4 linked regions of the Struthio camelus genome follow. The protein of the gene in region 1 purifies or fractionates together with the protein of each later gene. This does not show direct contact. Links are inferred from orthologs where the notes say so. Each region holds a gene or a part of one and is shown on either strand. Other genes may lie near its edges. The genes, in order: PTEN, USP10, OTUD3 and CENPC.

Region 1 (7,980 bases):
CTACAAGTCTTTGTCCCCCTGCGATTCCAAGACATGAACCGGCCCTCAAGGATAGGTGCAGGAAAAGACGGACCGCACAGCCCAATTCAAAGTTTGGTGATCAGATACCTCACCTGGATTCCCGTCCTTACTCTAGCAGATTCACAGTAAGATTTGACTCTCCATCTCCCACAGTCTAGGAAACCGTCAGTTACTAAGTATTTTGGAACCTCCACTAACACTGATCTACTCTGTATAAAAATATTTACTGGAAGAAGAAATTCATACTTCAGTTTCCCACATCCCAGCTAAAAGGCCAAATCACTGGGCTATATAGTCCTGTAAGACTTTCTCCTTTAGCTTGGAAAGCCAGGGAAGGCCAGCTAACCAACAGCAGAAACCTAGATGCAAGCTTGACTCGCTCTCCAGCACACAGCGAGAAACTGATTGGAGAATTTAAATCCCAATTCTGCTATCATACACCACATACCTTCCCAAAGAGCTCATTTAGGTTTCAATTTTTTTTCATTTGGGTTACAATTTTTTCCTCTTTCTTCATCTAACATTGCATGGTTGGAAAGCTCAGCTCCAAGCTCAGTCCTCTGTCTACTCAAGTAAGAAGGCTATTTTCCAAGAATGAGGTAGCAACGATTCCCTCAAAACCTCGTGAAGAGAACAGCTCCATGAAGCCTGCACAAAATGATAGAATATTAAAATCTCACTCTTGCAGCAAGGTTGGCCTTCCAGTATAGCCATTATATCAGGCATGCAGTGTCTTCATTCACTAATTATCTGTTCAAAATGTGCAACTATGAATTAAAACAGCACCTAATGTGAGCATAAGCTTCTTCCAGAGGTGTTTCCACAATCATTAAAATACATTTTTTCCCCATAAATTTCATTACAGAATTGCAGTCAGCTACTGCTTTTAGGAAAATCAGCCTAAGTCCAGTTTTCAGTGACCTACTTCTAAGGCAATATTTTAAGAATAAAATTAATGAGACAAAAGTTGTCTAAAAAAACCCAATAAACTCCATTTGGCATATCATTAAAAGCCTTGAATAAGAAAATCCAGGATCAACTAAAATTCAGCAGTTTTTTTGCCAAGAAGCACATAATAAATACAAGCAGATAAGTAGTTAAAAAGATGTGAAGATCTGTCTGTGTCAAAAATCCCTCCTGACCAACTGCATATTTGGGCAAAGACATCTGAAACAGTTCTACAACTGAAAAGCCAAAAACCCATCATTTTGTCACCATTTAACACTTCTCTTAAGCCAGAAGTTCCCAGCAAGCACATTACTCGGAAAAATCAAAAAGTCTAACTCAGACTTCTGTCTTTAAGTCAATAATAAGCTAAGCGCTGCGCTGGCCTATGTCACTGTTACAACTGTCCAAATTGTAGGCCAAAGAAGTGACCGACTGAGAACATATGAAATGCAGGCCTAAAATTCTATTTTATCAATACCACAACCAGAGCACAAGAACTACACAGAGCTCCTACTTTTAGTTAAGCTCAGCAGTCACCTGCTAACGTCAAAAGCTTTCAAGCTGCTTTAAAGCCACCAAAATTTTAGGCCAAATCTCAGAGTAACAGCAGGAGCTCTACACCAGTTACAGCAGTTTGCTTCCATCCTGCCCAAGAATTTGGCTGTATATGTAGCATTTGCTGTGACATAAATATATTTGCCCTGAAAAACAGCAAAGCCTACTCTGACCCTGTTGCAGAGCAGAAAGCAGTCTCAGTCCGTAGAAGATCCTAAGTCCAGATCTGAATACTACTGTCATTTTTCATCTTTCCTAACACAGTTTTAGCTTTTATGCGAGACGGTATCAGGCTCTTCTCTCACTTAATAACCTTTCAAACACAATAACGATGAACTTCTCCACGAAGAAAAGGTACACCCACAGTACTAGCCCTACATACTATTACCTCTGCAAGGCATTCAAAGCTAAACATCTGTCTGCGGTAGCTAGAGCACATCTGTTCAGGAGGCCACCAAAACTGCTCAGTTCTTTACGGTTTGACTCATTAGTTCTAATTGCATACTAATTACATACTCCAGAACTGCTCCTCGCTACCCTCTTCAACAAGCCCTGATGTATTCTCATTGGTAATACATGCAGTATCTCAGATTAGGCCAAAGTAGGGCTTACAGAGCACTTTAGCTATCTAGAGAAGCATTTTTTTCATTTAGAAGAACACCGAGGAGCGCTGCTGCCCGTAACTGAGCAGCTGGCCATACCTGACTGCAGCAGAGCACTAGCTATACCTCCCCGCTTAACGCAAGAAAATCAGCGCAGAGGACACAGGCCACGCGAACCTAAGCAGCCCCAGGAAAGCGGCAGGCCACGCCGCAATCGTGTTTGCGATTCAAGGCGAGTTCCTAAATCGAAAAGCGCTCTGCACGCGAGTCACGGCAGGACAGGCGTCATTTGCCGAGCTGAAAACCAGCGCAGCCAGAGATAAGAGGCGGCAGCCCCGCGTTACTTCGGACACGGCCGGGGACCCGCTGGGCCCGGGGGAGGCACAAACCACCCAAATCAGGAGCGGTGCCAGCACCGGGCACGCAAGCGCGCCGCAACTGCGAGCGAGCCCTCCCGGTAATCTTCGCCATCACCATTAGCCACGGGCAGCTCCCGTTGATCCGCACGGCCCCTCGCCTCCCCGACAAAAGGAGGCCGGAGGGCGGCGGGGCGGGGGGCCCCCCCGGCTCTGCTCCGCTCTCTCTCCCTCCCGGCGGAGCGGCACCGGGAAGCGCATTAGGTAACCGCCGCGCAGGGTCTGATGCAATAGCTGTACGTGCACCACCGGTTTTCGGGTTTCATCTCCCGCCGGGCGCGGGGCCGCGGCCCGGGGAGGCCGAGCAGGGATACAGGTCAGGTCCAAGTCGAAGCCATCCTCCTGGTAGCGCCTTTTGTTCCTGCTGACGATCTCTTTGATGATGGCGGTCATGTCTAGGAGCCGGGGGCCGCTCCGGGACAGCGCGCAGAGGCCGGCAGGAGGCGGCGGCGGCGGCGGGGCGCGGGGCCGGCGGCTGCCGGGCGGCCCCGGGCGCGGGGCCTGCTGCTCCGGCGGCTCAGCCCGAGGCCCCGCGGCGGGCGGCGGGGGCGCAGGCGGGCCCGCCTCCCCCCGCGGCGGCGGCGGCTCCCGGCGGCGGCGGCTGCCCCCTCCTCCTCCTCCTCGTCCTGCCGCCGCTGCGCCGAGCGGGGCGAGAGCGGCGGCGGCGGCCGAGCAGGGAGGGCTGAGAGCCGGGCCGAGTCCCTGAGGGTGCTGCCGCCGCCGCCGCCGCCGTCTTTGAGGCGAGCGCGGCGGAGGCGGAGAGAGCAGCTCTCCGGCGCTCCGGGCCCCAGCAATGGTGACAGCGGCGCGGGGCGCCCCCCCGGCCCGGCCCCGCTCCGCCCCGCTCCCCGCCCGGGGCGGCGGCGGCGGACCCGGGGCCGCGCGGTGGGGCCGCGCAGCCGGGCGGGAGGGCGGGCGAGCGCTCCCCGGCAGGCGGCGGCGGGGCGGGCGGGCGGCGGTGGCGGCGGGCGGCGCGACTCAGGGCGTGCGGGGCTCCGGCCCGGCCTGGCTCATCTCCCCCGGCCTCGTCCGCGCCCAGCAGCGCCGCGCCAGCGCTAGACTCCCATCATGGCTGCAACTTCCGAGAGGGGAGAAAGCGCTGGCCCCGCCCCCTCCGCCGCCGCCTCCGCCGGCGCGAGAAAGTAGTCCCGCCACATCACCGCCGCCGCCCGCCCCGCCCCCCCCCTCCCCGCTCCGCCGCCGCGCCCCGCCGCCGCCGCCGCCCGCCCGCCCGCTCCCCGCCCCCCCACCCCACCACCACCACCGCAGCCCTGCGGGGGCGAGGCCGCGGCCCGGCGGAGGGATACGGGCGGCTCACATCGCCGAGCGGCGGGGGAGGGGGGGCGCGCTGGGAAGGGGGGGAGGTCACGTGGGCGCCGAGCGGCGGGGCTGCGGGAGGTCACGTGGGCGCGGCGCCGCGCTCGCGGCGGCCCCCCCCCCCCCCGCTCCGCGGGCGGAAGTGGCCGGGCCGCGGAGGTGAGCGAGCGGCGCGGCGCCGCCTCCGGCCCGGGCGGGGGGCGGGGGGGGCAGCGCCGCGGCCTGGCTCCCCTAGCCGGGACAAACGGGCTTTGGGCCGCTGCCGTGGCGGCGGGGACGAGCCTCGAGGCCCCGCTGCCCCTCGAGGAGCGGGGGCGGCGGTGCGGGGAGGGGGGGGGCGTGACCGCCGGCGGGGAAAGGAGGTGGGAGACGGCGGCCGCGGGTGACTGGGGCGCGCGGGGGCGGCCGCCGTGGGGTGGGGGGGGCCGCCGTGGGGTGGGGGGGGTACGCGGACAGCCGAAAAGACTCGTTTTCTCCTCTGGCTGTGGCCGGTGCTCGTGTAATTTATTGCCACGTTAAAGACGCTGGGAGCTTGCTCGGGAGCTGCCGTCCTCCACCCGCGGCAGTAGTGTGTGGGCACCTGCTGCCCCCTGCAGCCACCGAGGTCCCAGGGGAGAGGTTTTTGGCCGAGCGGTCTTGGCCACCTGGGGTAGGTACTTCACGCAGGGCTCTGGCATCTGAGCGAGCAGGTGGGAACAGAAAGTGCCCTTCTGGGCCACAGCAGTGTTACTTCTCCAATAGCGGGAACGCCCTTTTGGAAGAGGGTGCAAGCTGGGGTGCTTTCTGTGCTCTGCGTGTGCGGTTGTTGAATTCGGTCTGCCAGAGGGGACGTCTCTGCTTATTTCCCTTAGCATCCGTTGGTGGCCGTGTTCTGTGCGAGTTTGTCTTATCCCTTTTTGATGCTGTTGATCCTGTCTGCCTCCCCCAGCTCCAGTGGCAGCAAGGTCCAGAAGCTCGCTCCCTGCTGCATAAAGAAGTACTTTTTTATCCGTTTTAAACTGATCTCCTATTAGTTTCATTGCAAGGCCTTTTGTTCTAGTACTGCAGAATATGGTGAGTGAGCCGAGTAATACGTGCAGCTTATCCACCACCTTGATGATCAGGTAAACCTCACTTGTAAAGGCCCCCCAGCCCCACGCCCTGGCTGATCAAAATTGATTATCCTGACAGGTGACAAGTGCTGTCTCTAAATCTCCAAACCAGCCTTCACTGGAATGGGACCATTCCTTTTACAGCAACTTTTACAGATAAACACCATCACATCATAAGTGTCTTCACGCTCCGGTCTGAAAACTGCTTTATTAAGGTAGCGAGCATTGCTCATGTTAATGATTTGCAGAACAGTGACTATCAAGCTGCCCATCCCAAGCTGGACTTCTGAGTATGAAAGCTGGCTGGAGTCTCAGTTAACTATCAGTTTTTCCATCGGAGTTGATATGACTATGGCTTTTTCTTTTGTGCAGACAAGTGAAATGTTAGCCTGTTGGGGTAATACAAAACAACATACTTTAAGGCAACTTAGAATGCATGACTTTACATGAAGCGTCAGGAACGGAAACTGCTGGAGATGGGCATTTGCCACAAATATTGAGGGAACAGAGGAGACCCTGACAGATAATACCTTAGAAGAAACAGGGTTACTTGGTAGAAGTAAATTTGCTTCTCTCAAAAACATTGTCTTCACAACGTTCTTTTGGTGAACGGTAGGTAACTTGAGGGATATTCCATGCACATCAAAGACAATATACCTTTGAAGAAAGCCTGTTTAAAAGGAAGGAGAAAACAGCTGTTAGCTTTATAAAGGAGTGATGGACATCTCCAGAAATCCACAAGGAATAAAAAGAAAAGGGAAGAGAAAACGCTTCCGCTGTAACTAGAAAAGAGACATTTTGGAAAGAACTGGCCTCATGGGAAGAAGAGAACCTGTGCATTCCTTCCTCTTCTCTCTTTGAAAAACGGATGATATAAACCAGACAGAAATCTCCCTAAAGAACAGATCCTGGTTCTTAGTTCATAGACATCAGTTAAATGTTTCTGAGGCTGGCCGCAAAAGATACCTTGCCTGAGAAAGGCAAGGTATCACAGTGAAGACAGCACTCCCAGGAACACCAGCAGGAAACTTTTACATGGTTCACTTAGTAATTGCATTACCTAACGAAGGGTTATCAAATACATTTGAGCAGGAAACTTACGAGTAAAATCATAACGCCTCTCTTGCATAGTGGTTAGATACTGTGGAAAATTTATTGGTAAGCAACATAGTCAACTAGGAAAGATGGGATAAAACATTCTCTCTCTCTGTATAAAAAGATAATAAATAGAAATTTTTATACATATGTAAGACAATACTTTCTGAAACTGTTTCCGTTCTGAGGAACAGCAAACAGGAATTCATGTTTCAGATACTCCAAAGGATATGATAAATCTGTTGTCTTGTTCAGTCTTTAAATGACTTTTAAGAGAGGTGCTGAAGTCTAGCTGCAGATGGTTGGAACAGGTAGAGGAATTGAAGCATGAAGTTTTATGTTGTGCTTTTAACAGAGTCAAAATAAATTGGAATGTAGGGTGGAAGGATCTCCTGGGTCGCTGCAGCCTCCAGCCTTTGCAAATGCTATATAATATAATTCCTTTCACAAATGTATCAAGTTTCCTCTTAAGATCTTTTGTTACCATAATTCCCACTGAGAAGCTGTTCCCAGAATGTTCTTCTGATTTTCATGCTAAATATATTTGTGACTGGTTTATATCCATTTGTTCCGGTGCCAGCGTTGGCCTTAAATAGCTCTTACTCCATCATATTTACCCTTTGTGCGTTTACAGATAGAAATGTTGTCCCTCTTAGCCTTCGTCTGACTAGGCTCAGCTAGCTCAGCTCTCCTAACTGTCCGTTCTCCCTCATCTCAGTAGTGGCTTTCTGCTCCAGTTTCAGTTTTACTCATTTCTCTTCAATATACATGACCAGAATGGCATGCAGTGTTCTAGATGGTATCTTGCCAGATCCAAGGACAATGGTATTAATCCCTTCCAAACTCTGCTAGAAACATTGCTCCTAAGACATCTTAGGGCCCTATTTTCCTATTCACACTGGCAGCTCATATTTATTTTGGGATCAACTAGTGTGTACGGTCAGATCATACTGTTCTTTTGCAACCTACAAACGTATGAAGGGAACCCATGAAAAGATTTCACGGCAGCGCCTACTTTTAGACCCCGGACTCAGAGGTTACCCATAGGCAAATATACTTGTGCTTAGCAAATGAAGACCATCTTTTAAAACATTTCCAAAGGTCCTGCAAGTGTAAAGTGTGTCCCTCTAACATCCAGCCACGCTTCCTTGTCTCTAGGAAGTTGATATGGCTTAGCTGAAACTCTTTTGGCTAGCTTCCTGAGTCCAAGTCAGAACAAGACCAAAAAGCAATCTGAGCAGAAAATAGCCTATCAATGGCCATTGTGTCAGCAAGTCGTGAGATAGGTCTTCATCAAGCTATGTGGTAACCATCTTTATCATGACAACCGCTGCTGAAATCCCATTATCCAAGCTGCATGACTATGCCAGGAATTAGTAGGAAGGGGAGAGAAAATAATTATGTCAGTGTTTAAATTCATGCTATGCGTCCATCCTAAACTCTCTCTCGCTCTCTTGGTCAGGTTCCGTTTTAAAAAGTATAGAACAGATCTGAAGAAGATTCGATGAAGGGAAGCATGGATGACCAAAGCTACAGAACGGCTGTTCGGTGAGGAACCGTGAAGTTTGGAACTTTTCATCCTGGCAGAGTTAGCTAGAGATCTAGAAAATCCCAAGTTACTGAAGAGGTTGGACAAAGACTGATTTCTTTGACGTTTCTTCCATACATATAAAATGTAGGGACACCAGATGAAATTCGCTGGCAACAGTTTCAAAACAGCCAAGAGAGGTAGTAGTTAGTGACGTGACCTGAAGTTAAACTGTGGGACTCTGCTACAAAATGTCATGGATGCTAAAAGTTTACATGGGTTCAAGGGGAGACTAGACAGGGTCATGGAAGAATTGGCTATAAAATACAGTACAACCTCTGGCTCAGAGTCTTTGATCTGCGAGTTCATGAAGCCTGGAAGAGTTTTTGGGGGAAAAACCATTACAT
Region 2 (7,494 bases), on another chromosome or scaffold:
TTGGTATCCTTTCTTCTGTTTAACTTGTTTTCAGAAGATTTACAAATGAAGTGTTTGCAGTAATTCATTCCATTAAAAAGGATAAGAAAGTGACTGAAACAACTGTTCATAAGGTTCCTACAGAGCACTACTATTTCCAAACAGGGAAATATTCGTTAAATCTTCCTTTTTTTTTAAAGAAGGATTTTTAAATGTCCTCTTCGAAAAATGGTTTTAATTATATTCAGTGTCAAATCAGCTCAATATCTGTATTGTCATACAGAACCAGCAGTGATACAACAGGTTTACTTTCAGCTTGTCTTAATAAAAATGATCTTACAGATTTTAAATATCCTCAGAACACACCCAGAAGACTGAGAGCAACACTTAAGAATCTGATTAAATGATTATGAAATACCTGCATGGAATACAGAGGTACAAATGACCAGCATATCTAAACTGTATTAAAATATGCTGGTGTGCCTTCTGAATAGCTGCCATCTAAAATGAATCCTCCTTTCAAAATATCCAATATGGTCATGTTTCACGATTCACTTGTGAAGAGTACGCAGGCTGATTTATAGAATACTTCTGCATACCACTACATGAATCCGTTAATTGGCAGAAGCCTGATGGCACATTTTATAATATTTAGAAGAGCAGGATGTTCTAGAAGACATTTCTCCCCCATGTGACAAAGTTTGCCATAACTGAGACATTTTAAATACTTTTGCCTAGGACTCCACATTATGACATGAACACAATGACTAAGTAATGTTATTTAGCTTTGTGCTTAGAATGTATGACTTTTATCAAAATTCTCTCTCAAACTTTTCTACCAATCTTCAATACTGTCATCTTAAAATTAAAAGGAAACACCTACATGCAAAACTACCTCCCTAAACTCATCTTCATGTCCTCCATCCAAAAAAGTACACAATACTGTTACCTTACTCCAGCATTACTGCACCGTGTTGCTCTAGAATATGTGCTCACATAAATATGAAGCAGCATTTACATCAACTGTTTATAATACATTAGAAAAAAAAAGCACAAGGGGTTGTGTTTAATGACATGAAGACTGCATTAGCTGAAAAATACCATACAGATTCGTTTCCTCAATTATACATAAATTTAAGCAGCAACCCTCCAGACTTAAATATCTGCTTTACTTACAGAGTAGTTTGATCTACACTACAGTACTGACAGCAAGTAACTACAAAGGACCAGACCCAAAGATTTTCACTTGACAAAAAATCAGAACTAGAGGAAGAAAAAAGATGAATCTATAGTCTATTTTTAATTATGACTGCAGTGTTTCAACATTAAGTTGCTGTACTTTTTATTAAGTTCAGACACAAAAATGCCCTTTATTGTTCTAAATCAATAAAAAAAGTTGTAATGAAAAACCTACAGTCTTATCAAACTGACTACGTGCACTGCTGTCTAGTATTTTGCTGTCTAGTATTCAAGAGGAGGATAACGCAGAGTGAAACAGCTTCTAAGTTGGACACTGAATCTCCTCCACACTCCTTTTGATATACGCTGCATTCTAATTACCATTCATTAGGTAAGTCAATCAATGTACTAGAACCAGAGTGAGATTCCTCCACTTTGAAAGAAAAGTTTAAGAACACAAAGTTTTATCATCACAGCCGTGCACACTAAAGTTTAAAAAACTCCAAAAACTGTAACTGTCCTCAAGACACATATATCAAAATACAAGAGCTCTTAAAAAAAATCCTTGATAATAAATACCATGATAGTTTTTACCAACTTTAAACTTTGCTGTAAAGAAAAAACACAGTCAGTACCACTAGTGTACAGTTTTAACACAGATGGGTACCTTAGTCAGCCTTCAGGAAAAAAAAAAAAAAACAGAGGATAATATAGCATAATGTTAGAAAAACTTAAAAAATTTATGAAAGACTTTTTCCAAAAAAGTAGTATACTGTTCTTTAGTAAAATTATACTTAACATGCTTTAAGTTTTCTGAACTCCCTTACTCGCAGAAAGGAAAGTTTTACAAAGTTTTGCAAATGCACACCCCAGTACAGCACTTATAATTGCCAGAAATTTTTGCTTTAAAGTCTTTCTTGGGGGGAGGAGGGGGAACACCCTTACAAAAAGAAAACAGCAAACTTGATCCATTCAACCATTTGCTTTATGCATAAACTAGATTAGACCCAAGACTCGAGCTTTCAGCTTCCAGTAAAAAGCTACCTGGGCTGCAGATTTTGTTATTCCATGCATAATCCTTCTGGTCGGTTTGGTCAGTGGGAGAGGGGGGAATTGCACGCCCATCCCCACGCATAACGACCTCGCAGCGCTCAGTCCTTTGCACCCCAATGCATCGAGGTTCAGGGGGCGGGAGGGAGAAGTGGTGAGGGGGAGGATTAACTTACTAATCCCCTTATTTCTTTCCCGTTGTAGACTCTCCCCCATCGCTCCCTCTCCCCTACCCCCCAAAAGCCCGACCTACTGAGTAGCTCCCAACCCCCCCCCCCCTTGCAACGGCGCGGATGGGGGAACAGCACCGCCTGCATCCCGCACAGGGCACCAGCGCCTCCTCCGCGCCTTCGCCGCCCCGCGGCGGCTCAGCGGAGCGCCCAGGCCAGGCCCCCCCGGCCGGGCCCCGCGGCCGCCGCGCCCCCCACCCCGGCGGGATTCAATGAGGCTGCAGAATCACCCGGGGCCTAGTCCCGGCCACCACGCTCCCCTCCTCCGACGAGCCGCGCCGCGGAGCCCGGCCGCCCCTCCGAGCCGGATAGGACCCCCCGCGGCTCCCCGGCCCGGCAGCGCGGCGACGGCGCCTACCTGGGCGCTATTTACAGCCATGGCGCCCCGCCTCAGTGGGGAGCTCGGCGTCTCCCAGGCGCCTCACGCTGCTGCCCCCGCCGCCGCCATCTTCTCTCTCGCACGCACCAGCCGGGCGGGCAGGCGGCAAGCACTGCGCCTGCGCACAGCGCCGCCGGGGAGGGGAGGGGAGGGGCGGCGCGCCTTTGCGCCTGCGCGTCGGCCGGGCGGTAGGGGCGGGAGGCGGCGGTGCCAGCGGCGCGCAGGCGCAGTAGCGGCCGAGCCGGGGGCGGGGCGGCCCGAGGAAGGGGCCCGGCGGCGGGGGGTGGCGGGAGCTGCGGGTGGGGCCGCTCTCCGCCGGGGGCGGGAAAAGGGGGTTGGGGGGGGGGGGGGAGAAACCAGGCAGCTCGGGGGGTCCCGGCGGCGCGAAGGAGGGCGAGGCAGCCAAAAAAACTTCACCTCCGGCCCCAGGCATCCCTCGGGGTCGGCCACGAGGCGAGCGGCCATCGCCCGCCAGCGGCGCGCGGGGCTGCCTCAGAGCGGTGCGGGCCCGGGCGCCGTGAGGCGGCGCCGCCCCCGCCGAGCGCAGCGGGGCGGCTTCGCCCGGGGAAGGGAGGGGGGATGCGGCCGGCCCTCCGGGTGGGCCCTGTGCGGAGGGGCACAGGGCTTTTCGGGTTTTTAGGGACACGCAGGCTTCGGCTGGGTTTCAGCTCGTGCTTCCTCGAGGCGGCGGGCCGCGCGTTGCGGAGTTGGAAAGCCTCAGACGCCAGCAGGCCTTGGCCCCGAGTAACGAGAGCGATAAGGGATTAGGCATTTGTATTTGGAAAACAAACAAGCAAACAACAAAGAAAAAAGTGACTAAGCCAATATTATGCTTTTGAGAGGACTGAGTCACAACTGCCTGCTTGTAAGCTCCCATCCCCGGGCAAGAAGCCATTAAACTAATCGCTAATTTACTCCGCCTTTTTTTCCCCCTCTTAAAAAACTACTAGATCCCACAAAAGACCGCTTCAGCTGCGGAGCAAGTGGTATAAAAAGCTTAACTTTACTATGAAAGTTGAAGAGAAGAAATAACGTGCTCCCCAGGAACTCTGTGATTGTGGCTTCTGAGAGAGAAGGTTCACTGAAGATGGAAAGCAGACTTCACCTGCCTTATTTTTTGATAAAGACATTTCCCTCTTATAAGTGCAACGCTTAATGTGTGCTCATGACAGTAATGGGAAGAAACTACAGTAGATGATTTTCTGTATCTGTTTCTGTCATTTCAGTTGACACACCCTGCTCCGCTCCCTTTCTTTTTGTTCTAGCAAGCGTTGTTGCTCTTCTGTCCTAAGGCAGAGAACCAGCAGTGAAAATAGCTGTTTAGTATTTAAAGGGGGTGGGGGGAAAGAAAGAGGGAGACATGCATGGGGATTTTACGTGAAGCACTTCCTACATCTGAAACCCCCTCTGCCCACAGGAGTCTAATTTACAAGGTAAATAATGGAGTAAAAACCCTTACAGAGCTCGTCTGGCTGAAGGCAAAATTCCCTTCTGCCCACAATCCTGCTTAAGTAAACTGACTGTGTTTGCTGGAAAGGTTGCCCCTGCAAATGGCTGAAAATACAAATGAGCAGAGTGCTTTCCACCTGAAAACAGGTTAATTCAAGGACCAATATTGTTCAAAGCTGGAGCAGACTGGCCAGAATTAGGGTGTGGGCAGAGAGGATGCAACTGTTGAGCAAAATTAATAACACCTTCAATTTTATCCTGCCTTAATACAGTTTCATTGTAATGTCTGTTAAATTTTTACCACAATATCTTGTAATACTGTAAGTTATGTAAGTTTGATCATAATAGAATCCTTTGAAGGAACTTTTACCTGCCGGAAAGTTTCCTCCTCAGTTCTATCTTACCATTCATTTTTGCCATTTCTGGTGGTGTGTCATTGTATTACTCGTCACTGCATTGCTCAAATCAGCTTTACTTTTTTTCTATCCTTTATGTCAGTGGCCAGGTACTCACAAACAATATGTTGCCTTTCAGACTTTAAAAAATAGTGGTTGTCTATTTTGCTTTCTGTGTATCCACGTTCTTAAGGGAGAGTAAAGGGAGAGTAAAATAATGTTAACTCACAACATGTGACCACTTAAATACTTTGTATTTTGATTAACAGCAGTGGAGGGTCACATCTTTGGGAATCAGAAAGACTTGTTTTACATTAGCCAGCGAGCTGAATAAAATACTCCAAATCAGTTGCCGCCCAATAACAACTACGGTAATTGTTCTTACTCTGCTATAAATGCAAAAAGCTTGGGAATAGCTTATCCTACAATATCATACTCCTCATGACCTTGCTACAGCATAAAACTGACCCAGGGGTTAAGGGTTTGTACATTTGAGGTTCCTGAACTGAAGCAACTGATGGGCCGCTTTGATCTGCTCTTTCAGGGACAGAAACGAGTATTTTCCTGTAGTGCTGCAAGACCTGGTTGATCACTGTGGAAGGTTTATCAATGTCTATGCAGAGCTTCTTCACAGTGCTAGGAGCTTTAGAAGACTTTTATTCTGGTAGTTTCTACGTACAATAAGGGCTTTGCTGTTTCTCCAGTCATTTTGGTAATGGAATTCAACTGGGAGGAAAAAGCCCAGTCAACGCTATACTGTGCGTTGGGGGCACCCAGACACAAAAAGCTAAGGTGGCTGCTGCGCGTTTAGAGAACATTCAGAAAGAGATTATTTATTTAAAGCAGCAGGAGACTAAGGGAGCATAGTGATACTCTATGCCCACAGTAGCACCAAAATAGTGTTAGGAAGGAAGCTCTTTTCATTTCCCTCATAAAATACTTATCAGAAGCAGTCATCTCCCCTGCTTGGACCTCAGACAGGAGCTTCTGATGGCGGTTCAGTTGGCTTCTTGTATTTCAAGTTCTTAACCAGCCTACTCTTAAGTCGATATCAACAGAGATGTCATTGGCAGAATCTGTAAAACACAGCCGTGACAGTCCCTCTCCAACGTGTCCACAGAGACCCTATGAACTTTGCCAGAGGTAAATCTAGCTACCTTACAGTGGCCACAGGCATACAAAAGGAATTATATGAAGTACCTGGGACAGAAAGGACAGAACTTGCTGCTGATGGAGGTCCTTCCTACTGCTAATGGCTATAATAAAAAATTTGGACAACCCAGATGAAGCTCTTTTCCTTTCTTTGTAGAGCTTGCGTAGGTCTTTGTTGTCAAACCTCTTTTTCAGATAGATGTCTGTGCTTAGATGTTCTGAATAGCATTCTGCTGGATATTCAGTCCTGAGGCTTTCCCAATAAATCTTAATCCAAAACCTCGTACTTCAGAGGTTTACCTGATTACTGAAACATGCTTGCTGAGTAGTCATAAATTTGTGAACTTTCTGTGACCTGAAATTGCACAGGTTAGCAACAGGCATCCCTGTGTTTAGAAAGAGAAGCCGAGATAGCACCAGGGCAAGAAAAGCTATACAAGGAGAAGCAATCAGCAAAGTAGTACAGGACACCAATAGGAGGTGTTTTATTCTGGAAAGCACTCGAGCAAACTGGGCTCCAAACTCCTCCTTCTTAAACTTTCTGATAATTTGTAACAAATATACTTAATCTGTTGATGCAAGGAACTTAAACGTGAAATAGTTCAAGTGAGCCTGAAAGAAATTTCAAGTCTAGACAAGCCCTTAGTAGATCGTGTGGCTGCTTGACTCAATATATTCTGTTTCAGTTATCTATGCAGACCTTTTGGCTGAATTATTTGTATCTCATCCTTCCCTGTCTTAAGTATGAGCCTTCTCTCTTCTCATGCAATGCAGTCTATTTTAGAGCTGCAGTTTCAAAAGAACCTTTATCTCACCTCTAAATTCTTTCCATTCACCATTTTGTTACTCATCGCTGAAACCGTCATGATAAAAACACAACTACATTTTTGTTCCCAAAGCTGTAGTGAGTCCCAGCAAGAGCCCATGCAATGCTGTAACATGGATTTGGTATCAACAAACCCACGCCTGGGCTGTGTGTCTGTCATCCATCTGATAGTGCATCAGCAGGGAGAAGGAACCTGCGTAGCTGGGACTTTGCCTTGTGCATGCTCTACCTTGCACAGGATGGCAACAGTGCATCTCCAACTGGACGGGGGATGCACCTGCCTTATGTGGTCTGAAAGACAGCTCAAAAACAGAGCTTGTAAAGGTTTAATTAGCTTTTCACTCATTAAAACCATAGGAACAGAATAATTTGGAATGGTCAGAAGGTCATTCTTAATTTCAGTTTCCACTCCATCTTCTTTCCTGCTAAAACTGCTCACATAAAGGGTTTTTATCAAAAGGACTAAGTGCAGCCACGTTTAACAGGTTAAAAGAAAAAGAAGTCAGCAATCCTGAGGTCCGTTTCTATCTTTGTGACTATCAGCCGTGTAAAAACTACGTCCCGTTTTCCACTTGTCGTCTGATGTAAGGATGACACTATCTACTTGCTGAAGTGTTCTAAGTCTATAAATTCTGCTGGATGAAGAGAGCTGAACTATTACAAGAAACTGAAATAAAATGATAAAAAAAAAAAAAAAAGCAAAGCTTTCCATTTGTTACGCTTCCCTTTTTTCGATAGAAACTTCTGACTGGTCAGAGGTTCCTTAAGACATATCAGCAACCTAAGAATCACAACTAGAATCTCGACTTTTTTCTGCAAGTTAAACTGCTTCTCAGAAAAGGTACTAAAAGTTAA
Region 3 (7,464 bases), on another chromosome or scaffold:
AGGAGCGTCTGGTTCAAAACAGTAACAAAACATGAACAGCACCTCCGTAAACTCCGGCAGGGTCTTTTCATCTCTACTTACTCTCACAAGTCAAGCAGTTGACTACTCCTACCCATTTGCATGGTGACTGCCAAGTAAACTTTTTTTTAAAACATGCAGGTTAGCTGTCTTACTTCCAATGACTGTCTATATATAAAGTCTAAACTTCTGGTTCAGGAATCCATCTGACACTATTTCAAATGCATTTAAGACGTTATCGACAGCTTTCACCTTTTCTTTTCTTCATCTCGCTGTTTAATCTATATACCTCACCGGTATTATCTCTAAACTGGGGTCCGCCCTTAAATCCATTATTACCATCACTAAAAAATGTCAAGAAATAATCTTGGCTTGAATGTAGGGTCTCAGTTGTTCAATAAATAGCCAGATTGAGTGTGGATCCATCCTAGGGTGGGTTCACTACAGGAAAACAACAACAACAACAGAGGAAGGACATGATGGATCACTTGTTCCAGTCCCCTACTGTAAGAGGAAACTGTATCACAGTCTACTTTCATAAACTGATTAAACACCACCTTAAGACTTTACAACTTCTCCCTTCTTTTTTGCCCATTCTAGAACCTCATTTCTCTGACTGTTAGAAACCATTTCATTGTCATTCCAAATCTGATGCAGAACTGATGGCGTTTCATTCCAACACACTGCAGGGGCTGCCCTGCTATACCTTCACTTCCGTATTCCTGAAACTTGTTAACAAAGTTTCCTTAAGCCTGGCTCAAATTTCTGTGAACTCGCATGTAGTCTGATCCTCAGGAGAGAGGAACATTGCAGAAGCCAGGAGCTTAACACCAGAGTTCTGTCTCCATATACTTATGCTTCATGGATTCATTGTTTTATTTTGTTTTGTTTCCTCGCCTCCTAGCTGAAGTCTTGAGGACTTTCTTTCCAGGCTGGAAAAAGCAAGCACAGCTCAACACCATGCCAAACTACGGCTACCGATCAGTGTTTTTGTCATCTTTTTATAGATCACAAAGTTTCAAAACTACCCTCCAGCTAAAAATCAGACCAAAATATAAAAGTCTTACTTCTTACCTGCCACAGTGGAGCATTAAGCTGATGAATAACCACGTTCATTTGATTGTTCCTTGCAAATGCCACAATAGCATCATTGCCTGCAAAGGTACCAGGCTTTGCCAAATTGGTAACTAAAGAAAAAAAAAATCTGTGAGAACTGGAAACTTAAGCTTTTGACGCTTTCAAAAGCATTGGAGGGATACTGAGTAACAATTTCAACACTAGTCCAAGAAATTCTGGAAAGAAATCCCCAACTGCAAAAGAGTGACTTTTGAAGCGAGAATTTGGCAGTGACTGCAGTTAATGAGCCTTAAATGACCACAGAAAGCTCTAAAAAACCTAGTACATCCTTAGATTATGCAAGGTCATCAGCTCTGTGTTAGCTTTGAATAAAGAGTGCCATGAATTAAGTGACCAAAACGCTTTTATGCATCACCTGCACGTTACCTGGCACATCCTCAAAGCTGTTAGAACGAAGGCTGTATTAGTCTCTGCTTTGGATCTTTCCCTAGGTTAACACTGCACAAAATACGGATCGTCAAGGAGACAAAGAAACCCATGGAAATCAGCCACTCAACACCCACCAGCATTCAAGGGGAGCTAGACACTTAGATTCTAAGTTCCTTTTGAAAATAGCATATTTGTACTCCTTGCTTTTTTCTTTCCTATGCCAGGTTTCTCCTAAATTTTAAAAAGATCCAAAGCAAATGTAACAGCTCATTTTTCTAAAGAAAGAAAACAAAGAGAAACTACTGTGTCTAAAAACTGGAGAGCTGCTCTAAAATACTTCTGGGATGAGAAACAGTGTAGTAAGGTACCCAAATGAGATGATGCAGAATATCCCCTTCCGTTATTGCCTTACGGAGACCATACCATGTTTCTCAAAGGGAACATCATCCTCCACAAAAGGCTCAAAATCCTCCCGCTGCTTTATCATGTAATCCACTGTCTCCTGGCGATGTTTAAGGTGGTTCCGTGAATGCCCCTCAAGCTGATCACCGAGGGCCCGAAACAAACAATTACTACCAAAAGAGAAACTGCAAGTTAGCATGTTTGAAAGGTGGTTAACAGGATACCCCAAACCAACCACCCCGAAGGAGGAGCAGAAAGAACACAGACTGCGCAGCAGAAGCGTCCCCCAGCACAATCCTGCATTGATGTATTGACTCAAGCACCAAACACTGCCAATGAAAAGGGATGCAGCTGCTTCCTCATTAAAGAGTCCAGATTGGAAGCAGTGTCTGGCCAGTGTTAACAGGAGGAGAAATGAGCTACGCTCCTTCTGCCCAGTAATTCAACAAGGATATGGAAGTGAAATACCACTTATTCCCAGGACTTAGAATGGCTGTTGAAGTCAGAATTGGTAATACAACAACAGCATTGTTTTGGGTGACAACAGCATCAGATCCTACACAGCAAGTCAACAGGACTAATAGCACCATGCCAAACTGTCCTAAACTGCAACCAAGACAAATGACAACGCCACAGAGGACAACCCAACGATTCACCAAGCAATTCCTCAGCAACCAGGTTTCTAACTCCCCTTTCTCCCAATGTTTATGGTGCTTCCTATGCCCCAGGCAGACAGGGTGGCCCTCAAGCCTGTGGGAGACAAGCCTGGGGCTAGAAGAGCCCTCGGCCCCGCTGGTGACAGGCCAAGGGAGCCCCCCGGGACAAAGGCCCTGCACTGCCGGGGGTGGAGGGAGCCTGCAGAGGCCTGAGGGGCTTCAGAAGGCAGAGAGCTCGGCGGAGGTGCCGGCCCCGCGCTCACCCGTCACCTGGGACCTCCCGCAGCTTGAGGCCGAGCGCCCGGAGCTGCCCGGCAAGGCCGCCCGGGGCCGGGGCCGGGGCCGGGGCGGCGGCGGGCGGCCGGGGCCGCCGCGCCTTCCTGCCACCGCTGCCGGGCCGCGCTTTGGCCGCCTGCTTGCGGGACATCGCCCCCACGCCCGCCGGGCGCCCACTGCGCCTGCGCCGCCGCGGCCCTCACGTGACCACCGGGCGCCGCCACCGAGAGCGACGCAAGAGACGCCAGAGCGCCGCCACTCTAGCCCTCCCCCCCCCCCCCCCCACCAGCAGTCCTCCAGAGGAGGAGGAGGGCGCCGGGGCAGGAGGGAAGGCAGGGGAGGGAGCTGGGGGAAGCAGGAGGTGTCAGCGATCCAAGCCATGCAGAGTGCAAAGGGAAGGAAGGTGAAACCAGGCAGCCCTTGGGATCAACAGCGGAGCCCAGGAGAAAGCACAGGGCAGCAGGACAAAGCTCCTAATTTCATACCACAATGCTTGGTCTGTGTGAAAGCCAGATTCTCCATGTGCTTTCATCCTTAGTTTCTCCAGCTAACTGCACTTCTCTACCCAGGTGCTCCTCCTGGTCAGTCTAGAAGGGCCTTTGGGGTCATGCCCCAGCACCTCTCCCTGCTGCTCCAGCACCCTTAGTTCCCACTTACTCCAAAAACTTCCCTTGGACAGAGGCTGTGGCCCTTCTTTCATTAACTTCTGCAATTATAAACTAGCACAAACCTCTTAGCCCGGTCCGTGTCTACTTCAGCACCGAATCAGTGATGCAAGAGTAACTGGAAAGGAACAAAGAGGTGAGAACATTCACTACCCACGAGGTGGCACTGCAAGAACACAGCTCACACTGCCATGCCCCAGGCCTGACAACAGGAACACGGGTCAGGGTGACAGCCAAAGCAGTAACAGTTAACGGAAGGCTTGAAAAAGAAAATTCAAAGTTCCAAAGCAGAAGAATATTTAATTTCTATTAGGAAAATGTGTTTAGAGTGGTCACACTCAGCAAGGGCCTGACTCGAGCAGGCTGTGAATTCAGCCTGTAAATAAACATCTTACCTTTTTCCTGGTGGAAAAGTCAGGTTTTGATACATGACACTGTACCTGCATTTCCTATTTCCCTGAGCCCTGGCAAGAAGAAATATGGAAAACTAATCTGAACAGGGGGCGTGGGGGTGGAGAAGGGGGGCACAAATGAGACCTGCTCCCACAGTACACAACTAGGAGCACTCACCGAACAGCACAGTGTTAATACAGGGCTTCCTCCACCTGTTTCACCAGTAAAGCTGGGCCAAAGTACGATGGCCATTTGTGGAAACACCGCCAAACCACACAGCTTGTATCAGCAACACTGCAGAATCTGCTGCTGCAACTGTAGAACATCTATAGCAAGATACAAGCCACAGCATTGGAAAGCCGGGTTATTTGCCAAAAAATGAGACCACTGCCGTAGCAGAAAGCTCAGCCCTAAAAAAGGCAACCACTTATTTAGAATTCAGCGCTTTGGGAAGATAAAATTAGCACTGCCAGTTTACAAACTGAGCTGCAACATACTTTCCTCTACAAGGAGACTGATTTTGTTGCAACTTTGAGCCATAACAACCCCTTCCAGTACTGCTGGACCCAAAGGAAGAGGGGGAGACTGTATGCATATCCACATGGAAGTGGATAGAAGTTTAACAGTAAGAAGCATGACAAAGAACAAAAAGCTCCAGTCTGTCATGCGTTACCCAACACAGCATGACTGGGGAGCGTTTGGCTTTCCTGTTGGCCTCGTGCCCTACTCTTCTTCCCCATTCTCAGAAGCAACCAGTCAAATAAGTCATCTACCATTAATACAATCCTGGGCTGCCCCAAATCAACGCAACTATTCTACTATAGACAAATCAGTTACCCCTTTATTCTGTTTTTCTTGCCCTACTTTGTTATGCAGCTATTGTGAAAGGATTTGCCCGGTACTGTCAGAACTGCTGCATTTCAGTTGAATTTGTGTCTAATTAGTTCCTAGCTCTGTTCAGAGGATGCATCCAAGCGGCTCTGTGAGACGGACCCTAAAAGAACATTCACAATTTGAAAAAACACACCCAGGTAGAGTGTGAATCGACTTCCTTGGCATGAACATTACAAATATGCCACAAAAGCACATGGCTGACTATCAAGACAAGACAGGATTGCCATGTGGGATTCCCCTGTGGAAGGTTTCAGGTCCCATTTATCAGGTCAAATTAACATTTGTTGATATCAATTATAAGGCCACTCCTGAGCCTGATACACTGTAGCTGAATTCCCCTGCTGATCACCACCAATAGCAACCTCTCTTTCAACCCCAATATAAAAAATTCCTTGCAACAATAGCAGAGAGATTGTAAATCTAAAGATCTAAAGGTGACTGTCCATTCACGGAAGCTCTCTGCTTCATTCATACTTACACTGACTGACAGGTGATATAGTAAGAGGCTTCACATCAGGACAATTGAAGTCACTTTTTCAAGTTTTGGGAAATGTCGAAGGTTGAGGACAAGTCTAGAAAGTCCCTCTTGTCCAGAGTCACAACATTCTGATACAGATCTTGAGCAGAGGAAGAAGTTCAAGGACTATAAACATTAGCTTCTCTGGTATTAGATTGTGAATATTATTATACTCAAAAGCCTATGACAAGTTGTTATTTTACTCTGAGATTAACCTGAAACGATAAGATTGCTCTTTTGCATCCCTTTCCTGTCATAAACAAATCCCATAGGAAGAAATATTCCGCAGAAACACTTCTTATGCAAATATACCAAAAGCAGGAAACGAGGTTGAACTGCTTGCAAATGATTAATGAAACAGTAATTGGACTAAATAGTAATAAAGGGCTAGAGTCAACTCAGGTGACTAGAACAAGCATACAAGCCACTGAAAGGCACCCATGCAGCCAAGGGCAAGACTCGGTCAAGACAGGTCCTCTGAACACTCAGCTGAAATTTTCATCAATGAAGGACATCGATAGATACTTTTAAATCCAGTAAGATCAATAACAAAACTGGGCAGAGAGATCACCCAATGCCTGAACAGCAGTGCTGAAAACACAGCTCAGGAGTTGCAGAGCTGCCGCTTCCTGAGCCCATACGCTGGACCGGGCTTCCTCCTGCGGGGTCCCCTGTCCACGTGGAAGTGGCAGTAAATTGTACCCTGGGGGATGCATGGCTCTGCAAGGACCTCTGAACCACAACACGCTCCGTTTCCCCTTCCCTCTAGAGTTGTCCAAGCTGTCGACCTTCATCAGTAGCAAAGTAACAACGTTGCTCAGCCAGCTCTGAATTTCCAGTAGATGCGCTGGAAAAACAGGGAAGTCACACCCACCCACTGCTGAAAGACAGGGTAAATGGACATGGAGGCCTCAATTTGTCTAACCTAGCTTTTAACTGAAGCATGGAAGGCTCCTAACGTTTGCGTCACCCGAATGTCCGTGAACCCCTGCTATAGCCTGTGTCAGCAGAAGTACAGCAGGAACACCCAGACACTCATGAAGTCTGCTAACCATAAACCTTCTACTCTTTCTCAAAGAAGAACAAGTTCTCACCTCATTCACCCACCAGTTAGTTAATGAGTTCAGTGTTGTCCTGAACTCCTTTGCCCTTCTAACCGCGTTTGTTTCTGTTCCTTCCTCTGCTCTGCTGTGGGAGAGAGGGGCTGGGACACAGCAGCACAGACAGCTTGAGCACTCAGGTGCACTTGAGGCTAGACTCGGTACTCTGTCTTCTACAAATGATCCCTGAAGGGATTAGTGGCCCCTGCCCTTCTTCCTTACTTCCATGGGATTCCTACCGAGAAACTGTTTATTCTACCCCTCAAAAAAAAAAAAAACCCAAAAATAGAGAGTGAGGGATTTGGTTCAGGAGTCTAAGAAAAGCTGAATATTCACAATATACCACCTAAGCATAGGTGGCATAGGGCATTCTTGTCAGTGCAGCTCTTCCTGTGAACTCAAAAAAAAAAAAAAAAAAAAAAAAAGGGAAGATGCTCTTACTAAGACACCAACTTTGTTTTTATTTCTCAGACCTCCCCTGGACTCTGTGTGACCTTAAGTCACTTACTTTGCCCATGCTTCAGTCCCCACATGAAGCCCTCTGATAACTGAAACCAACAGGGATGTAGGTAATCAGACATTGAACACTCAAAGCTATGCCTCATTCTTTAAACTGTGCTGTAGGGTAACAGCTCTAAGGTAGTAAGCAGGGCCAAAGAAGAGCAGACTTCCTACCCAGAGCACTCACAACTGGTGTGGTACCTAATTCCATGGCACACAATGCTGGAAAAGCAGGAAAGCAAGGAAAGGGAGCGATACACACTGCTCTTCAAATCTACCTGGCATGAAAAATATGCTCTGCCTTTGGTTACGTGCATTCTAAAAACATCATTGTATTCCTAATTTAATTTCCTCTCAGGATCTTTGACAGCATCTGGGAAACAGATATGTTGAAACCTTCTGTCAATCCAACATACCAGGATTCAGCTTTTGTGATACATAGTGTGTGTCGTTACGGTTCTAATGTCAAAAACTGAGAAGCAGAGAACAAGACAACTTGCCAAGGTCATGCAGAAAGCCAGTGCAAGAGAAGTAGA
Region 4 (7,904 bases), on another chromosome or scaffold:
CAAACCAGCTCAAATGGTTAGGTTGCTATTTCTTATCTCCTCTAAGGGAACTGAAAATGGCAGAAGAGATCCACTAGCTAAAACACTTTGATGAAAATAACAACAAAAAAGCTACAGAACACTTCTTCCACGTGATTATTATATGTCTTCTAAAACAGATAATTTTGTAGATTTTTTTCTTAGCAAACTCATGAAACGCATGTCTAGAAACGGATGCCAGTAACACAAAGCTCACTAACTTCTGAAATTCCTTTAGGAAAGACTACAGCACAACAAATACTCAAGCTACTCTTCAGTACTCAACATACTCAACATACAATACTCAAGCTAATTTACCAGAAAGGGCCAAACAACACAAGTTCGAACTCTGCAGGTGCTTCATTTCTCTACAACCTCAGAGGAAAAACGTTTGCAAGGACTACTGTTTCAGTACTCAACTAGCCTAGCTAGAGGTAGCCTCAGTATCTCTGCACCATAGTCTGCCACTTTAATAGAGGAATGCAAAGGAAAAGCAGTCAATGAAAAAGGAAAGAGCCTGGGAAGGATAGAAAGTAAAAAATATATATATACACACACATACATAAGTACATTGAATTTATATTAAATATATACACATACACACATCTATGTATTTTTTTAATGTAAATTACTTAAATTGTGTAAATAAAGGACTCTATCCTGTGGACAACCTATCACTAGATGTCATACTGGCTATTGAGGTGGACAATATTCTCTGTTGCAGAATTGCTGCCATCTGTTCTCCGCTCTTTGCGGCAAATGAAACAGTAGTAACACCTTTGCACCCACGAGGTCTAGGAGGAATGCATGCACTGAGGTAAGAGAGCATCAGAAGCATATTAAACACTAATTTTTCCAACCATTGATCAAAAGGACATACAAAGTGCTAAACTCCAAGCTTCAGTAAGACACTGTATTCTCTCCCTGAGCACAATTTGCTTTGCACTGCTAAGAAATACAAGTTGGGAACCGCTACATAACCAATGTTAAAAGATACGCTCCTGTAATTTTGACATTAAGTTCACAGAAATAAATCAGGGTAACTTTTCCAAACTATACTGTCTAAAACTGGAATTTTAAGTATAAATGTAAATTACCCTCCTCCATGGCAGAATCTTGTTCTGTAGTCTTTTTTGAAAAGGTTCTGTTAAGAAAGAAGAATCAGTTTTTAACAAGCACGTTGCCAACAAATCTTGATGATTCTTGATTCATCATAAACTAGTAGCAGTTACTGCAGCCCTATTATTCTGAGAACCCTGCAGTTCTGACAGATGTGCTCAGCACCCCTTTAACAACTGCCAGGGATTCAACTTTCCTTAAGAAGCATCAAGCATGTGTTGCATTGAAATTAATTGCAAGACTTACATGACAAAAATATTACAGAATCTAAGGGATTAGTTAAATTTTCTATTGCCATTATAGAAATACTCATCTTAACAACAAAAAGGAATCAACGACCACAAAGCACGCTAGGTCGTAACCTTACAGCCCATCTAACTGATCTGTGGAAACTGCTCACATAGAGATTCTTACCCTGTATTTTTCACAGGCAAGACCACGACAGGCAGTTACAGCATAATAGCCATTCCATGATAAAATTACCACCTTGCTGAACTCAACTTTAATTGACAGTTATGACTTCTTCCAATCTGCTGCTGGAATAAGTGCATGTGCAGTATGAAGATCATTCAGTCCTAATGCAATAGAATTCAGCATGCTCTTCCTAATAATTTTGCCATACTGAAACCATTTCATACTTTTCCGAATAGAAAGTGATGGCTTCACCTAGGATTTCTTTCACATATTTCTGCAGATACTACCTCTGCTAATAAAAATGACCAAAAATCTCATTTTATTCCAAAAAAAGAATTTCATTCCACTGCAGATTTTCAACCTTAAAACGGTAGGATTAAATCCCATATCACTCAGTGAATTGAATGGCTTATAACACAAAATGTCATCACTTCACAACAAGTACGGAAACTGTACTCTACAGTGAGCCAGTCGCTTAGGCTTGAAGCTCTTCAAGCAAGCAACCTTTCACGTAAAAAATGAAACATTCCTGTGTCGGAGCTAAAAGGGCTTTTAAGTTTATTGGTGATTATGTTAATACTCCACTGCACATAAAGAGCCTTTAAAATTTTACCCACCGCATATATATATCTGATGGTGGTCTGCAGGAGGAAGATGGGTACCTCTCTAATATAGCTAGGCAAGAATTATTGATTCTTTGCATGCTACCCCCTAAAAGGAAGGTTTTCAGAAACAAGCAGTAGGAGCAGTTACAGGCAGCCTAAAGAAAACAGGGCTCTCAGAAGACAAGCTCTCAGCACAGAACTGCTTGTGCCAGCACCTGGGGCCGAGCCAGTTGGTGCGGTGCCCGTCAGGGAGGGCAGAGCACTAACACCGGCCGCGGTCTCCCCAGGAGCGAGGCCCAAAGCAGCCCCAGGGACCCAAGGGTTGAGCCGAGACTGCACGGCCGGAAAGCACCGCAGAGGGCTCGGGCAGGCCTCGGGCCGGCCCAGGAAGCCCGCGCCGGGAGCCGCCCGGCTGTCAGGAGTGCAGTGAGGAGAGAGGGGCAGGGGAAGGGGAGGGTAACAGCCGCTCGCGGGGCTCGCGCCGCACAACCGCCCCTTCCCGCGCCCCCGGGCTCGCGCTCTCTCACCAAGGCCTCCGCCATCCCGGGCCGCCGCTGCCACGACAAAGACGAGGACTCCCGGCCCTACGGCGCGGGGGTCGGCCAAGCCGTCACCCCGCGCCCGCCTCTCTCTCCCCCTCCCTCCCCTCCGGCCGTTCGCCCACCCGCTCGCCTCACGACTTTCGCCTCACGACCCGTTCGCCCCTCACGACTTTCAAACCTCGGGGGCTTTCCCACTGCGCGCCCGCGCGCGCGCGCGCAGAGCAGCGGCAGCGCCCCCTTCCCCCCGCCCCATTGGTCAGCGGGGGGCCGCGCGCCGGAGAGGGCGGTATCTTTGCGCGCGCGCCATACCCGCCTCCTCCAGCCGTTGCCGCGCGTGCGCAGAAGGTTGCGCCGCAGGCTTCCCCCCGCCTCAGGGGTAATGGGGTCTTTCTCTCGCGCGGCCGTTGCCTTTATTCCCCTCTTTCCCCCTTGAGCCATTACTAATTGCGCTGTCTTTAAAGCGCAGAATGTAGCAAGGTTACTCGGAGGATCTGCTCAATCTGTCATGATACTCATTCTCGAATATTCATCCCCATCCCTCCCTAGGCAAGGTCTCCTGGCGGGTCACTGCATTATTTTTTTCCTTCCTGTATAAATTTCAGCAAAGTTCAAATACTCAGGTTTCTAATAAACGCTGCAAAACACCTACAATCACCACGAGATTTTGACTTTTTTTTAAGCGTTATTGAACTCAGCCGGGAGCTACTGCTGAAAGAACCGTTTGAGGAGATACGCTGCTACAAAAGCCAGCCCAAAACATATCTTAAAAAGACACATTTTTAGAGCGCACCGCACAGGACCGAGTTCATCAGCTCCAGCCTGCATAGTCATTTTCTGTCTTGCCATGCAACAGTGCAGGTACCTGTCTTCATAAGCTCTTCTGCAACATTCAATGGTGAAGTCAGAGTCTGCCATTTAAATTAAATTAAAAAAGAACGCACATCAACTTCTGCAATCTGAAATGTAAACAAAAGCTGAGACTATGGATCTGTCCACAGCAGTATTTAGAGATGACATGGAGATGACATGGAGAATTCACTTTCGCCTATACAATTGTACCTCTCTTTTCTGCTAGGGCTGGCTAGCAGCTATATGATCCATCACAGATCGCCTTACAGGTCAATTATGTACTCATCTTACAGGTGCATGCTGCTGAAAAACAAAAAAAAGAGCAGGAAGATGTTCAACAACAAATGATCCACAGAAATTTTTCACATTCACTTTATCTCTCACACCAAAAAGCACCAAAATACCAAGTCCTGTCATTGCTATTCTTTCTGAACGCTTTAGGAAACGCCAGAAATGAAGCAAAACATAACGGTTCTGTGAAGTCAATGGAAATTTCACCCCTCATTTCAGAAGGACCAACATTTCACTCTTGAACTACAATTTCCCTTCACAATTTTTTATTTGGCTTTGGTATATTAGCTCTTTCTATCCTGCATGCACACTAGAAATTTGGCTGTCAGTAATAAACAGTGGTAGGTAGGCTTATTTCTGATATTACTGTTGGGGTTCTGTAATCCTACTAGATGTCCCATTTCCTAAAGAAATTTCAATTAAAACAGTCATAATCTGGTAGTCGTAATGTTAAAACACATATTCACACAGAAAACTTTCAATAGTACTGTGGAAGCAGCTAAGAGTACAAACAGTCTCCCTAGCTGGTAGATAGCCCATGTAACCCTTGTTGGACCCAAGTCCAATACTTTTAAGTTATAGTAAGGAGGCTTTTCTGCCATTATCTCTGAGTGAAACCAGCTGTAGTAGTGATGCAGTTTTGTACCAGAAGGTTCATCATTTGGCTCTTCCTCTTTGAGCAAACCAAGGAACGAGCTCATAGATGTTTTGCTAGAAAAGATCCTTTGAATCCATTCAGCCTGGTTCCTCCTGTGATTATATGTTGAGTAAAGAGTCTGTGGCATGTACTGACCTAAAAGTAAGTACAGAGACTTCCTCTTTAAACTGTTGGGTTTTTTCCCCTCTCACCGAGGTGAGTTTCTTCTCCAGCTGAGGCTGATGCAAGGCAGGCAAGAGCAGGAAAGAGGGAAAAAAACATCTGATATCCAGAGGTCCCTGGGAAGCATTATGGAAGAGCCTGAGAAAATTCCTAAACCGGCTCCCCGGAGAATCTTCCACGAGAGACAGAGGGTCACCGGTCTGCCTTTGTACTTTGAAAGTTATCTGTCAATCCGGCATTCAAGATGCCAGGTAAGGTGCCCAGTCCCAGTAAGTAGATATGTTTAAACACTTTTGCAAAAATCTGCCAGTGTGAGCTGCAGACTTGGGGGGAGAAACACTTCTCAGTGCTGCCCAATGCATGTAGTTGCACCGAAATAAAGCTATTTTGCTTAATTTGCACTTTCCATTATTTCTGCTCATGCCTCTTGAAAAAGAAGTAAACCAAAGTATGTAATGTAACCGTCAATATCTCCAGGGTTCCATTATAGTTTACTGTTACCTACTGAAAAGCAGACTAAAAGTGACTGGTTTCATAGTTAACACCATGGTGAAAGTCAATGCAATATTTTTAATAACAAGAGCAAAGTTTGACATTGTAACGTTGTTCTGATGCATCCCATATTTACTGGACAATAGTATCCATCCTGAGATCTCCAGCGACACACCACTTGAAGCGTACATGAGGCATTCTATACCTATTTTTGTTGTTGTTGTTAAAGGCTGATCATTCAATATGTGTGGACTAACTGAGAAAAATAGTACCTTGATTTTTTTGACACACAATAACCATTTAAGACCCAAGTTTGTAAGTGCCTTCATACTGTTCTGTGTGCTATCGTAGCATATATTTTCAGAGCATGTCCTTAATCAAGCTGATTGCCTTTATTAGCACTTGACAACGGTGATCCTTTGTACTTAGGGTTACAAAATAGTCTTTGCCTTAACCCTACCTACACTCTCATCTCTGTAGATACAGAAGCACAGACAGAGTAGAGAAAATATGAGTTACAGAGGCTAAAGATGGATATAGTCAAAAGACGAAAATAGCACAGTGGTTCACAAGAACAAACAGGTACCACAGAAAACAGGAACTCCAAGAAGCAAAAAGCAGACTATTAGCCTTGCTGTTAAATTGTTTGCAGCTCTCAAAATTCTTCTAAGCATTGCTTTGCTGTGTCTAGCATGAGAATACCTGTATGTTTAATAAAGCTCTCTCACACATTCCTTTATTTATATACTTCTACATTAAAACTTTTTTCCTGAAGAATCCTCCTTCGGAAATGTAATCATCACCATAATACAATAATAAACAATAGCAGGCCAGAGCAATAACACACAGCCAGTCTAAAAAGGCTTATGTGATGCTGAAGAGGTATACTAACCACCTGAACTACAGACCAGACACCAGGAAAAAAGAACTCATTAATACATATTTCTTAACTGGATCTGACTCCTAAAAAGTACCATGTTACTATGAGCCACTTCAAATCATATGGCACCTTTCTGAAAAAAGAAAGGACTCTCTGTGTGCATTACTTTTACAAATACTACTCTATTTTAAGTATCTAAAGATGTCTTTAAGCAGTGGCCAGCTTCAGTTTCACGTAGTGCTGCGTTACAAGTACTACTTCCTCCTGTGCTAATAGTTCTGCCACCTCCTCCTCGTGACGCAGGTAGACTGCATACAGGGCCTAAGGAACACTTATGGCTGTGAAACACCAACAAATATTCCTGGGCTAATACTACTGCATTTCCATAGAGCACAATGCCCAATTTATAAGGTGTGATTCAAAAATTTCCCACGACATCCAGCACCCTGCCTCTCTCAGCCAAGCACTACGCCACAGCAAGCCTTCACAGGCTTCATTAACTTGCTAGGGACAGATGTTTTAAGGAGGACATTTATGTTCATAGCACACTGCAGCGCTCAGAGCTTGGGGTCCAGGGGCTGAATGCTATAGAGGACATTACACAAGTGATTTCACAGAAGCCACCAGAAAAACTAGTTAGGAGTTAGCAGTGCAGGGAGCAAGGACCACCTGCAAGATACTTTAGGAAAAATATTTTGTTCAGTCTAATTCATATAACCTTGGAGACTTGAAGACTTATTTCTTTTCTCCATTTCTGTGAAAACCTCCAACTTCGTGTCAAAAAAAAAAAAAAAACCCAAACAAACCCCAAAACAAAATAGGTAAGTAAAACGAAGACTAAAACAGAACATGTATTTTACAGGTTTGCATTCCCGATTCACAGTCCTGTAACAAATACACTTCTCAGGGGCACAAGAACAACAGAAAAACCTTTCCCGTCATTCAGGGCAAGATAGTATTAAGGAACATTTGTAACAGTCAGACAGTCGTATTTACCATGACATTTGGTTGATTACGTGCGGTTGATTTACAAACACTATCACATGTAATTTACAGACAAAGTACATGAAATATATCACTTCAAGTACAAGAAGTCCAAACAATAGGTTAGACTACTGTCAAGTTCCGTGAGAAAGGCATTAACGTGGTCTTATCCCTAAAGCACATAAACTAGCATGATCAAAATTAAATACAAGTAAGCAGTTCAAGGGAACAGTGTTCAGAAGACTGGCATCTTTAAACATGTTCCTGTTGCACGATTTTCCACTTTCTAGAGAATGATGTGCTGAGAACAACGAGGAAAGAGTTTGCTTTTTGTTTACTAGCTATCTTAAGCAGGATCGGGATCTTGCTTTTTCTGCTTTTCAACTTAAAAATTAAGCGAATGTCCAGCTCACTTTTGTATTTGTCCAAAGTATGGAGTGTCATTTTTATGCCTTTTAGGGACAGTGAGAGTTTTAAATGGTACTTAAAATATATTTTTCTTTCATTACTTATTAATTTTAAATTGACAAATGTTAAAAATCTTCACTGTTGGTTAACTGGTAACCAGAGGAGAATGTGTTTTTAAGTGCTACTCAAAAAGAATTTTTATTAGCAGGCACTAAAGCCAAGTAAAGGGGCATAGTTTACCTGCCGTCTAGATCAACGTTATAGTGATCTAGATCAACAAACGACAGAAAAGTTTTCCCATTCCAGGCCAGATTAGGACATTAGAAAGCAAAGCCTTGAGCCTGTATATCTTTGTAGCCATCAACAAATTATTTAATGAGCTTTTTTTTCTTACATTGCTTGCAAAACAAATACATCTTCACTCTTTAATGCTCTTTAAAGCACTGATATAAAAGCAAATGATGGTAAGAGTTTTTATCGGT

What was found.
Region 2: the proteins of PTEN (region 1) and USP10 purify together in Homo sapiens (affinity purification with western blotting; 4 studies listed by BioGRID, with this or other methods). This does not show direct contact. The link is inferred for Struthio camelus from reciprocal best matches to the Homo sapiens genes PTEN and USP10.
Region 3: the proteins of PTEN (region 1) and OTUD3 purify together in Homo sapiens (affinity purification with western blotting; 3 studies listed by BioGRID and IntAct, with this or other methods). This does not show direct contact. The link is inferred for Struthio camelus from reciprocal best matches to the Homo sapiens genes PTEN and OTUD3.
Region 4: the proteins of PTEN (region 1) and CENPC purify together in Homo sapiens (affinity purification with western blotting; 3 studies listed by BioGRID, with this or other methods). This does not show direct contact. The link is inferred for Struthio camelus from reciprocal best matches to the Homo sapiens genes PTEN and CENPC.

Annotation. Positions count from the first base shown.
Region 1 is NC_090948.1:43,320,931-43,328,910, reverse strand, and holds the start of PTEN (phosphatidylinositol 3,4,5-trisphosphate 3-phosphatase and dual-specificity protein phosphatase PTEN), read right to left. Parts: upstream 3,016-7,980; 5' UTR 2,936-3,015; coding exon 2,857-2,935; intron 1-2,856. UniProt on the Homo sapiens protein: Dual-specificity protein phosphatase, dephosphorylating tyrosine-, serine- and threonine-phosphorylated proteins.
Region 2 is NC_090951.1:4,542,745-4,550,238, forward strand, and holds the start of USP10 (ubiquitin carboxyl-terminal hydrolase 10), read right to left. Parts: upstream 3,011-7,494; 5' UTR 2,818-3,010; coding exon 2,797-2,817; intron 1-2,796. UniProt on the Homo sapiens protein: Hydrolase that can remove conjugated ubiquitin from target proteins such as p53/TP53, RPS2/us5, RPS3/us3, RPS10/eS10, BECN1, SNX3 and CFTR.
Region 3 is NC_090962.1:12,812,427-12,819,890, forward strand, and holds the start of OTUD3 (OTU domain-containing protein 3), read right to left. Parts: upstream 3,010-7,464; coding exon 2,846-3,009; intron 2,097-2,845; coding exon 1,948-2,096; intron 1,206-1,947; coding exon 1,093-1,205; intron 1-1,092.
Region 4 is NC_090945.1:5,207,775-5,215,678, forward strand, and holds the start of CENPC (centromere protein C), read right to left. Parts: upstream 3,010-7,904; 5' UTR 2,699-3,009; coding exon 2,684-2,698; intron 1,163-2,683; coding exon 1,116-1,162; intron 1-1,115. Other genes in the region: STAP1 (signal-transducing adaptor protein 1), read left to right, coding at 4,718-4,909. UniProt on the Homo sapiens protein: Component of the CENPA-NAC (nucleosome-associated) complex, a complex that plays a central role in assembly of kinetochore proteins, mitotic progression and chromosome segregation.